Linked DNA regions of Danio rerio. The protein of the gene in region 1 binds, or shares a complex with, the protein of each later gene. Links are inferred from orthologs where the notes say so. Each region holds a gene or a part of one and is shown in the gene's direction. Other genes may lie near its edges.

Evidence for each region. The genes of interacting proteins can lie anywhere in the genome.
Region 2: phldb2b (region 1) and erc1b share a complex: the UniProt entries of both Homo sapiens proteins name them as parts of the cortical microtubule stabilization complex. The link is inferred for Danio rerio from reciprocal best matches to the Homo sapiens genes PHLDB2 and ERC1.

What each region holds. Positions count from the first base shown.
Region 1 is NC_133199.1:29,128,404-29,135,039, reverse strand, and holds the start of phldb2b (pleckstrin homology-like domain family B member 2), read left to right. Parts: upstream 1-3,120; 5' UTR 3,121-3,389; coding exon 3,390-3,413; intron 3,414-6,636. UniProt on the Homo sapiens protein: Seems to be involved in the assembly of the postsynaptic apparatus. May play a role in acetyl-choline receptor (AChR) aggregation in the postsynaptic membrane.
Region 2 is NC_133179.1:8,748,060-8,753,973, forward strand, and holds part of erc1b (ELKS/Rab6-interacting/CAST family member 1), read left to right. Parts: coding exon 1-254; intron 255-3,364; coding exon 3,365-3,439; intron 3,440-4,782; coding exon 4,783-4,938; intron 4,939-5,914. UniProt on the Homo sapiens protein: Regulatory subunit of the IKK complex. Probably recruits IkappaBalpha/NFKBIA to the complex. May be involved in the organization of the cytomatrix at the nerve terminals active zone (CAZ) which regulates neurotransmitter release.

The sequences.
Region 1 (6,636 bases):
AAAAAGATGACTGACACGTGCATAGTAAAGATTCATAGGAGGATGTGGGTTTATTCTTTTCAAAAGTTATAAGCTGAATTGCACAAGTCTATTTTATAATATTCAATTAAAAGGTTTTGGAAAAAGCCCTTACATACACAAGTCCATAGAATCTCTCTCATCAAATAAGTGATCAAAAATGGACAGAAGAGATGGATTTATACACAGTGACGTAAAGTAACAAATTACAAATACTCAAATTACTGTAATTGTGTAGTTTTTCTCTGAAATGTACAATTTATTAGTTTTAAATATGTCTTCTCTTACTTTCCCGTGAGTACATTTTTAGTGCTATATCAATACTTTTACTCCACAAATTTCCTTCAACCTGGAGACACTATTTTCTTCTGTCAATGAGGGTTAGAGAAGTCAGTCCTGTGATTCCTGTCCAACTAAGTCCAACTAAAGATTTAGATGCATGTCACTGATGAGAAGATGACAGATGTTTATGATGAGCGAAATGGCCTTGAACACCCAGCAGGCACAAGACGTCGACAAGATGTCAGATTGACATTGTATACTAACGTCATGGGGATGTTGCATTTTGTTTGGAAATTAAAATCGGGTTGACATCAGAATCCAATGTCAGGTCGATGTCAATGTCCAACAGCCAACCTAAAATCAACCAAATATTAACGTCTAATGATGTTCCAGCGTGATGTTGTGTTGTCATTACCACTATGATCCCTATCAGACATTGGATTTTGGTTGCCATACCTGATGAATAAATGTCAGTATTTGACGTCAGTATGACGTTGGTTTAAGATGTTGGCTGCACGTACGATTTTGGTCAAATTCTAACCTAAAATCAACCAATTATCAACCTTATTTGACATTGTTATTGGATATCAAAATAACATTGTCTTTAGACACTGGCTAGACATTGAATTTTGGTCACCCGACAACACAACCTAACTCTAACCCAAACGTCTTATGAGATTGTGTGCCTGCTGGGCAATATCTAAATGCAGTACAAAATGTAACCTTTACACACATCCACAAATGACATGTAAATGCATCAGCATACTCTTAAGTACTTTCGAAAGGTCTTTTTTCTCATACATTGAGTAATATTCACAACAGATACTTTTACTCTACTTGCGTTACATTTTTAGGCAAGTAGTGGTACTTTTACTTTAGTATGATTTTTCAGTACTCTTTCCACCACTGTTTATACACTTAGTGTAAATATAAATATGTGTCCCTCATCTACTTGCGATACAATTAGTCAACAAATATCTTTAAAGCCAGGCTTTGAGAAATGCTGAGAAAATCATATTTAAACTTGAGTTTTGATATATTTACAGTAGGAAATTTACAGAATATTGTTATAAAAACATGCAACTTAATATTTTTATGAGTTTGACATGAAAGACAAAGTGAACATTTTTACCCATAAAATGCATATTTGGCACACAAAAAAATAATAGTTGTACATTTTTGTTTCAGGGTTACATATTGATCATGTTTTAAAAATATATATATACTGTACCGTGTGTGCACGAGTCCAGTGAAATTTGCATTATACACACTGAATATGGGAAAAAGCCTTTAAAGAAACCAACATAAAGATTGAGCATGTCAATGTGTCAGATATCACCAACAGCCAATGAAATCTCTGTTATTGAGACTATATTTGCATATGTGATGCAATTGTACACTGGTATTGATAAACAAACATGAGACAACATGATTTTTGCTGCTTGTTCAAACTACTGATTTATAATAAGCTGAATCAACACAAAACTTGTTTTTTTGGGGACAATTTAATCGTTTTATGTTCAATCCACTTAAATTTGTAAAAACAATTGTGTTGGGACAACATGAAGGAATTGTGTGAAAGTCAGCATTTTTACAGTGTAATTACTCATTAAGAATATTTGTTATTTTGGCATGTGAGTAATCAAAATTTGCATTATGATTAACTTTTTTAATCAATCATGTATTTTAAGACTATTGGCCATACTATTTTACCCTTAAAAGTAAAAATCGAAATATTACAGAAATTATATATTGAGCCTTTACCTGTTTGTTTAGCAAACGCCATTCATCTTATTTCTGAGATAAAGAAAACTGGGTGAGCGTGCGCTGGAACATCCTGTTTACCAAAAGATTTCAGCGACACATGATCACTAATCACAAACTGATGAAGGGTGTGAGTGGTGGAGGAGGAGAGTAAGAATTTATTACAGAAATTGTAAACTGTGTTTGTTAATTAAAAACAAATAGTGTTACAGTGAATATTCTGAGCAGAGAGCTTATCCTTTTGAAAATGAAGCATGCTTTATTTGATCATATCTTATCTATTTCAGGGTATTTGGACAAGAAAACTCACCACATGCATTGCAGCCAGGTTAAGGATGTGGGTGAGGAATGATGCAGTCAGAAAAATAAATAATGTTGATCAAGACTAGAAGCAATAAAGAAGGAATTAGTGAGTAGAAATGAACAATAAATGCACCCAATAAACTGGCATCATAAGATTAGCACAAATCTATAAATCTTTAAAAATTAGTTATCGTTATGCAAGGGTCAGAAATAAAAACAGATCATTAAAAGCATCAAAACTACAGTTTAATTCATTTCCCCCATACATTAGTGTGTCCTGTTTAATTGTATATATAAAATGTAATGAATTAACCTTAGTTTACAAAACAAAAACAAACAAAGGTTTCAGACATGCTTAGATTAATTTGTTTGATGACATAATAAATAATTCAAATTACTTTACTGCAGCCCAAAAATACTAATTAAATCATTTAAAATGTGTATGCTATCCGTCAGTCCACTTAAAGTAGATTTTACTCATTTCTCAGCAAGAAGCTTTATAATAACAGTGACAATTAATAATGTCAATCAAATTTGTCACAAAATAAACCGTTAAAAATAAAAAAAAATGCATTTATATTAAGAATACGCTGAGGATCATGTGACACCTTTTAAATTGCTGCTTTGGTGAATGTCTTGACTTGTGCGCATCGAACTGTCAATGCTAGTTGAGGTGCACGCGCCCCGGTCTCCAGAACGCATGCTCAGATCACCACCGCACGTTCTGGTTCCAGCTGTTGCGCATTCCACAGCACAGCGGAGCCGCCGCTGGCCAAGAGCGACAGCAGTCAGGACAGCGCCTTTAAAGTCACCAAAGAGCCACTGCTGGACTTGTTTAATCACTCTGCGAACTCATTTTTTGGATCATATTGTTTCGCTAGTTTTATTTTTAAAACTTTCGGCGAAGAGGTGGAGTTTATATCTGAGGTATTTTCTCTCAGTGATTTGGAAGCGCAGAGTATATTTGGAGAAGAGCGCAACGCATCTTCAATAAGTGTGTTTGTTTGGAACAGCCATAGGATATGACAGACATCGTTTCAGCAATGGTAAGTTTACTTTTTTCCTTTTATTAGTCATTTGATTAATCTGCAAATATAAACCCCGAAGTAAACATTTAATTAATCAAATTCAGTAACTCAAATTAAGCATGGAGTCCCCGGAAATAAATTTCTTGAAAAATTGGTTGTTATTTTTTAAGTATATATCCTGTATATATGTTACTAACTTTATTGTATATGTGTAATGGTATATTATCACGATAATGATGGTGGTAATGAATTCTTCTGTCTGGTGCGGATCGGTAATGACACCTAAAATAAATAGGCTATATTTCTATAAAGTGAATGTTAAAAAAATAAAAAATAAAAAAGACGTCTTTCTGCTGTCCCAGCTGTGGATTTTTTTTATCTAAGTTTTATTTCCATCACAGCAAATATGAACTCTCATAAAACTTAACCAAGTGCTTGCTGTAATTATACAGCTGTATTGAATTTGAATTGCAGTCAATAACTGTAAATATAAATACTGAATAAATTTAAAATATGATCTTTTTTGAGTGTCCCTCACTGAACAACCACTCAATACCGGTTTCCTTTTATAGTGGGTAAATAAACGGATAAATTGGACTGCTAGTGTTTATTTATTTATTTTGGCTGCAGTCACCTTAACTGACCCAAAATGAAAATTTACTGTTAATTCACTCATTCTCAGGCTATCCTGGATGTAAGAGATCATTTTTCCCCAATAGAACAACATTTAGAAGATTTTTAACAGAAACTGTGGTCTTTGGTGATTCATAAAATGCAAGCCAATGGCTACCAGCAATTTGTGGTGCCAAAAAGACATGACACAGTGGCGCAGTGAGTAGCACTGTCACCTCACAGCAAGAGGGCTGGTTCAAGTCTTGGCTAACCCAGTTGGCATTTCTGTGTGGAGTTTGAACGTACTCCCCGTGCTCACGTGGGTTTCCTCCAGGTGCTCCAGTTTCCCCCACAGTTCAAACTCATTCGCTATAAATTGAATAAACTAAATTGGCCGTTGTGTTATAAGTCTGAATGAGGTTGGGTTGGAGCTGGAAGGTCATCTGCTGTGTAAAACAAATGCTGGATAAGTTGGTGGTTCATTCTGCTGTGGCAAACCCTGATGAATTGCTCTTCAGTGTTTGGACTCTCAGTAATGACTTCAAACCACACTGAACTGAGCTAAACTGAACTGAACTTAAACACTAAAAAACTGAACTACCCTGATCCAGTTACTATGACCATTTATGTGAAGCTGCTTTGACACAATCTACATTGTAAAAGCGCTATACAAATAAAGCTGAATTGAATTGAATTGAATTAATGGACTGAGCTGAAGGAAAATGAATAAACTTTAATAAAAATCACCTGAACACATAATGTAATGATATACTGCATTATTGAATCTGATTTGCAGTCTTACATAAAATAACTAAATATAATATAATAAATATAAATAGCAAAAAATAGAAAATATGATCTTTTTTGAATGTCTCTACAACCCCTCAATACCTGTTTGCTTATATAGCGGATAAATAAACTGATAATTTGGACTGCTATAGTGTTTTTTCATTTACTGACCCGAAATGAAAATTTGCTGTTAATTTACTCATTTTCAGGCCATCCTGGCAGTAGGAGACAGTTTTTCTCCACATCTAGAAGATTTTTAACAGAAACTGTGGTCTTTGGTGATTCATAAAATGCAAGCCCATGGCTACCAGAAATTTGTGGTGCCAAAAAGACGTGTATTGGCAAAACAAAAGTAATACCTATGACTCAATACATTGAGATTTTATGAAGAAAAACTTTTTTTATGTTTGAGCGAACTCTGACTTTAATCTGTGACCGACTTTTGGGTCTGGATGTGTTTTGTCTACTGAATTCATCACTGGCACTGAATCATGACTCGTGACTGAGAGATAGGCATCATACAGTAAACATCCAACATCATAGACAATGAAATAACCCACATTAGAAATAACCTGCAGGTTATGAACTTGTGACATGACTGCAGATTTCATTGTCTCTGAAAAAGACTCATCAATCAAACTGAACAAAAAAAAGATCCATCTACTATGCAAAAACAACATTTTGAACCCTCAAACCAGATGTTATGGTTGTAAAACACCGTCTTTTACGCTCAGTACACAATTGCCATGAGTAACATGCATAAGAGCAGCAATTATTTCATGAGTCAGTGCGAGAGGAAGAAAAGAAATAAACACAGACAGAGAGAGATGCTACAAGTGATCCAGACACTGTAGTTGTGAAAACATTGAACTTTGCACAATTTGGCTCAGGTGTGTTAATCTGCGATCCAGCTGACTCAAAGAGCTTTCTGTGATAAACAGGTGTGAAATCATTGTTGATTACTGTGCAGATGCCACAGAGACAGTAATCACATGTGCTGAGTGATGATTCTTTTAATAAATATACCCCCTGTGGCTCTGGCTAGCTAAAGCCTGGCTGAATTTAACAAACATCTGCCTGAAGTCATACTCTTGGTTTCAACAGAGAGCTTTCAAAGCCACAAAACTTTTAAAGATCATTCCAGTGAACAGCTCTTTTAATGATCATGAACAGCATTTTATTAACATAAAGAACATTTTACCACTTAATTTGCTTTGGAAATTATTTATGGAAGTTAAAGGATCTTCTTAAAACCATTGATGCAAAAGATTACAATTTATGTTCACCCTTTGGTGGTCTTCTCACACTTCTCAAAAAGTGATATTTTAAACGTTTTACTTCATCAAAATTGCACTGCATGAAATGATGTGACTTTTCTGGCAATTGTTAGTTTGCATATGATTTAAAATGACTCATAATCACATAATCTCTAAATAAATAAATAGATAAATAATTATATCTCCAATGCAAATTTATATGCTTATCCTCAATCTGCTTTAACTGCCAATGATCACAAGTGTGATTTCTGAATGATACATAATTATAATTATACACTCGCCGGCCACTTTAATAGGTACACCTCACTGTTGATTACATGGCGCATTATCCTGCTGTAAGTAGCCAACAATACTCAGGTAGGCTGTGGCAATGACCAGATGCTTAATTGGTACTAATGGGCCCAAGTGTGCCAAGAAAATATCTCCCACACCATTACACCACCAGCCTGAACAGTTGATCCAAGGCAGGATGGATCCATGCTTTCATGTTATTGATAACAAATTCTGACCCTACCATCCGAATGTCGCAGCAAAAATCAAGACTCATCAGACCAGGCAACGTT
Region 2 (5,914 bases), on another chromosome or scaffold:
CCAAAGAGCTGTTTCTACTGAGGAAGACTCTGGAGGAGATGGAGCTGCGCATCGACACCCAGAAACAGACGCTCAACGCTCGGGACGAGTCCATCAAGAAGCTGCTGGAGATGCTGCAGAGTAAAGGACTCTCGGCCAAGGCCAGCGAGGAGGACCACGAGCGCACCCGGAGACTGGCCGATGCTGAAATGCACATCCACCATCTGGAGAGTTTGCTGGATCAGAGGGACAAAGAGATGGGGCTGCTGAGAGAGGTAAGAGGAAACCAGCACACAACGCTTAGCCAACCTTTAATCTAGTGCACTGAAACTGTATAATATTTAATATTTAATAGATATAATATTTTGTTCAGAACTTACATCTCAAAGTTGACATATTTTTTCCCAATTCGAATAGTGAGCTTTTATTTTTACAATTTTTTAATTTCCTTTGTTGTTTTCTTCTCATAATTGCAAAAAAGCAAGTTGTCCTCGTCCCCCTCTCCTTTATTTTTGTCAGAAATCTTCCATAAAGATGTCACCTTCTTCCCTAACAGTGTTTAAGTGACTATCAAGTATTGAATAACCAAACAGCTGCTCCGGGAAAGATGCTGACAGCGCTTGGTCATTTATCCACAGTTGATGAGTCGCGGTAAAATGTTTTGGCCAGGACTCTCAATTACGCCGCTGATGAATCAAGGGCTCTAGATTAGTCATTTTAAACAGCGGCGGACGAGCGAAGCTTATCGAGACTCGGAGGGAAGGAAACCTGCTGTAAACTGAAGCCGGTTGAACATTTGTTGCTATAGAAACCAGAGAGACTGAAAGGATCATTGATGAAAGGAGACACAGATGTTGCCGAGTGCAAAAACTGCTAATGTGGCACACGAAACATTCAGCACATTTACTTTAGTAGTTATATCTCGGATTGAAGTTTATTGGAGTTTCTCAGGCAGAGATTTCGATTAGTATTAATGCTGAAAGTGAAAATAAAATAGCTGGGGAAGAAACTTCTTAAAGTAAAAGCAAGCAAAGAAAGTCTTGTCATTTAGTATATTGTTATTATTATGATGCTGCATGGCATAATTTATAAGAAGGGTATGAGGATCAAAACAATGCAATCCACAAATATTTGTAATTTATTTTATTTTATTTATTAGAACTTTTTTGTGAAGAGTTGAGCTGGCCTCATGGCATAATTTATTAGAAGGATATAAAGAATAAAACAATGCAAAACACAAACATTTAAATTTTTTATTTTGTTTTATTTGATTTATTTTAGTCTGTTTGGTTTTCTTTGTAAAAATCTGAATTCCCTAAGGGCGTTATTTATTTGCATGGTATGAGATTGAAAACAATGCAAATTACAAATGTTTTGTATTTATTTATTTATTTATTTATTTTTAATGTTGTGATTTTTGTTTGTTTGTTTTTGTATAAATCCTAACTCTTCTCATGGCATTTTAATTTAATTTAATTTAATTTAATTTAATTTAATTTTATTTTATTTTATTTTATTTTATTTTATTTTATTTTATTTTATTTTATTTTATTTTATTTTATTTTATTTTATTTTATTTTATTTTATTTTATTTTATTTTATTTTATTTTATTTTATTTTAACTTCTGTCAGGCATCTTCTGAGACAGCCAATGAGCAAATGCAGAAGTTTGGCGACAGTGGCATCTAGTGGCCACCTAGTTTGTCGCATTTTCTGAATTACTTTTGAGAAACTTGCAGAAAAGGCTTTGAGCTGAGAGTTTTACTCCCTTTTTGGAACCTGAAATCATTATCAAACAAGGAACGGTTAATAATGTGTAGCCACTAATATGATGAAATTCTTACTGTAATGTAACCTAATACAATGTAAAACGAACAAGCAAAATAAATAAAAGAACGAATAAATAAATGAGCAATTAAAAAAGGAACAAATGAACTAGTAAATAAAATAAATAAATAAATAAATAAATGAAATAAATAAATGAATTAGTAAATAATAAAAAATACACAAATAAATGAACAACTACATAAATAAACAAACAAAAAAATAAATAAATGAGCAAATAAATAAATGAACAAATAAAAAATGAATGAATATATAAATAAATAAATGAACAAATAAAAAATGAATGAATATATAAATAAATAAATTAACGAATAAAAAATGAATAAATAAATAAATGAATGAAAACATAAATAATTAATAAATAAATAAACAAATAAATAAACAAATAAATAAATACATAGATGAATAAGTAAGTAAGTATGTAAGTAAGTAAATAAATAAATAAATAAATAAATAAATAAATAAATAAATAAATAAATAGTTCAACTTTAGGGCCAATTTGATTAACAAACAGAAAAAAATATGCATTTCAAATTGTTTCTGTTGTAATTGTAATTATTGTGCATTATTTTTAGAATCTGCCTTTAAAATATTTGTTACAATTTGTGGATTTTATTTTCAGGAGTTTTAATAAAACAGCATTTGTTTGAAATAAAATCATCTTGAGCAGGTGTTTACCATGTTCTGATCTTTGGGTTTAGCTCTGCGAAAGGCAGCGGTGAATGATTAAAATAATGATTTGGACAGAGATCAGTAGAACATTTCAGGTCTTTCATTGAAGCCTCCAGTTGGACATCAAAGAACAGGCAGAAGTTAACGAACAGCCTTCATTTTTTTAATCTTGTGATATGAAATTCCTCCTTTACCAAAGACTTACTGCAAATGTCTGTGAATTACCGATAATGAGGCAAAGTCTTGGAAACCCTTTTAAAATCCATTTTAAAACAGTTTTAATGTCATTTAAATTTAATGGGCTGCATGAAAAATTCAGAAACCTTAGTATTTAGTTGAATTAAATGAAATAAACTGCAAGAAATTAACTTTATTCTTTTTTTTCTTTTTTTTCTTAGAAGCACTATGAAGTTAGAAAAACTTTAACAGTAATAAACTGATTACAATTATGAAGATACTGTCATACTGTTTTCCCCATGTGGGTTCATCATATCTGAAGGATGAGGCTTCATGTTTTGTGTCTGAATGCTGATTTTAAGGTCTTCAATTGCTGGAGGCTGCCTTCTTTGTGTTAGTGGACATTGCATTCACTCTGTTTGTCCGCTGCTCAGTGCATTATCTTGTTCATAAGGGACTCATCCACGCATAAACATTCAAGCCAGCAGACTGAAACTCTCTCGGACTGCCATCAGTGTGCTGAATTAGTCATTCGGTGCTGGAGATTCATCAGTCAGTGGTCATTTATTATCAGCGGGGTATTATAATGTGGAATGGACTGGATCCTCATCAGCTGACGTTTGGCGGTAGAGGTGGACGTTTCTCTCCTGTGGTTTCACCTCATGATCCTCGTCTCGTGTTTTCTCCACAGGATCTCCACCGGCGTTATGAGGGAGCTCCAGAATCGGCCAAAACCAAGGCTCTGCAGACTGTCATCGAGATGAAGGCAAGTGTGTGTGCGAGTTTGCTTTGTGTGTGTGGTGAGGAAATCACAAACTTTAGTATTCTTTATAATAATAAAATGATAATGGGGTTGTTGTTTTAATACTGTGCATGATGACAATATTGAGTGTGTCCAGGGCTTGACATGAACTTTTTTTGATCACCAGCCACTGTGGCTAGTAATTTTTCAACATTTACTAGCCACGCACAATTTTTAAATGGATATTATTTATGCATAAATTCAACTTTGGCATGCTAAAATGACTTAATTTAGGTTTTGTATTACACTGTAAAAAATGCAGGGTTCCACACACTTCATTCATGTTTTCCCAACACAAATTGATTTGGTTAACTTAACACTTTAAACAAATGTATGTGGATTGAAAAAAAAAAAAAAAAAAGTTGTCCCAATGATATCTCAAGAATTTAGTTGTTTCAGCTCATTTTAAATAACTCGTTTGAGCGAGCAAAATAATATGTGAAGTTTATGTATAAACTAATTATGAGAGGATCAGATCACGTGCTTATGATTGCTAGCGGCTGGATCCGCATTATCCAATTCACAATGCTCCAATCAGACGTCTCCTAAACTACTATAAATACCCTGGGTTTCATTCCACTGTTATCTTCGTTTTGAAGAGTCCCCCCTTCCACCCATACTCCTCCTCCTCCTTCCTAGATGGGTGACACGGTGGCCCAGTGCGTAGCACTGTTGCCTCACAGCAAGAATGTTTCTGGTTCCAGGCTATACCAAACCAGCAGACATTTCTGTGTGGAAATTGCACTTTCTCCCTGTGCTCACGTTGGTTTCCCCCGGGTTCCCCGGTTTCCTCCCACCATCCAAAAATGGCAAATTAAGTTAATTGACTAGTCCAAATCGGCACCATAGACATGCTTCTAGTATGTAGTTATCTCCAAAGAGCAATCACTTACTGTTCATTAGTTACTACAGCAGGGGAGTTCTCGAGATCTACCTGAGCTCAAACTCCCCTCATGCCTTGCAACGAGAGGGAGCCCCGGACTTGAGGATCTCATGAGCTCAGGGCTCTTTCCTGGGACAGCATGCCAAACAAGCTTAATAATCAATTATCAGCTAAGTGTGAACTCTTGAATTTTTTATTTTTTTTGGAGTGAATGTCCCCATGACTACTTATTCACTTTTTATGTGTTTCAAAACAAGTGAAATAGCTGTATACATAAAGGTTTTATTCAACCAAACCGTTCTTCTGATCCAGATTAATTAAATAATTATTTATTAGCAGCTGGCATACAGGAAATAGTGTGTTTTGCACCTTCCTTGTGCATCTATTTGTGTTTTCCTGAAACGTGTGTTTGTGATCTCTGCAGGACTCAAAGATCGGCTCTATGGAGCGCAGTCTGAGGGACCTGGAGGACGAGATTCAGATGCTGAAGTCTAACGGAGCTCTAAGCACAGAGGAGCGAGAGGAGGAGATGAAGCAGATGGAGGTTTACCGCAGTCACTCCAAGTTCATGAAGAATAAGGTAGAGTCATGGGGATCATAGGGAATGTTTTATTATGCTGTAGATTTGTATTTACACATGTATGTATGCATGTATTTATAGTTATATATCAATAACCTGCACCTCGTTTGTTAGCTGTGTTTTGTTGAAGTTGAAGAGTAGGTGTCTTGTGGTGTCGCTAATGTTTACGCTGATGCTAGTGTTGTTATATGGTGTCTATCAGAAAATATGAAATCAGCATAAAATTGCTTACATTTTCATTTTAAAGCAGTTTTAACGTAAATTGAGTTGCATTTTTGTGAATAAATGAACAGATAACTAAATAACTAATGAACAAATAATGATTTGATTATCGTTACTTTTATATGTATCAATACATTTTTGTAATCATTTATTACTTTTATTTTTTTAGTTTATATTACTTTAAATAACAGGTCTGATATTTTATTTGTTATTTTTGTTTATTAAAATTACTTTTTATTTAATAAATAATTAGAAATATTTTAACATTTTGATTGATATTTTCATTTTGTAGAATAGTTGTTATTGAAATTTTAATATTAGTAATAATAGTAACAATAATATTGTTGTTGATGATAAAATAATAATAATAATAATAATAATAACAATAATAAACTAATTATTATGTATTGCCAATAATAATAATAATAATAATAATAATAATAATAATAATAATAAACTAATTATTATGTATTGTCAATATTACTACTACTACTACTAATAATAATAATAAAATAATATTGTTGTTGATGATAAAATAATAATAATAATAATAATAATAATAATAATAATAATAAACTAATTATTATGTATTGTCAATAATAATAATAATAATAATAATAAACTAATTATTATGTATTGTCAATATTACTACTACTACTAATAATAATAATAAGATAATATTGTTGTTGATGATATAATAATAATAAAAAAATAATAATAATAATAAAAATAATAATATTGTTGTTGACAATAA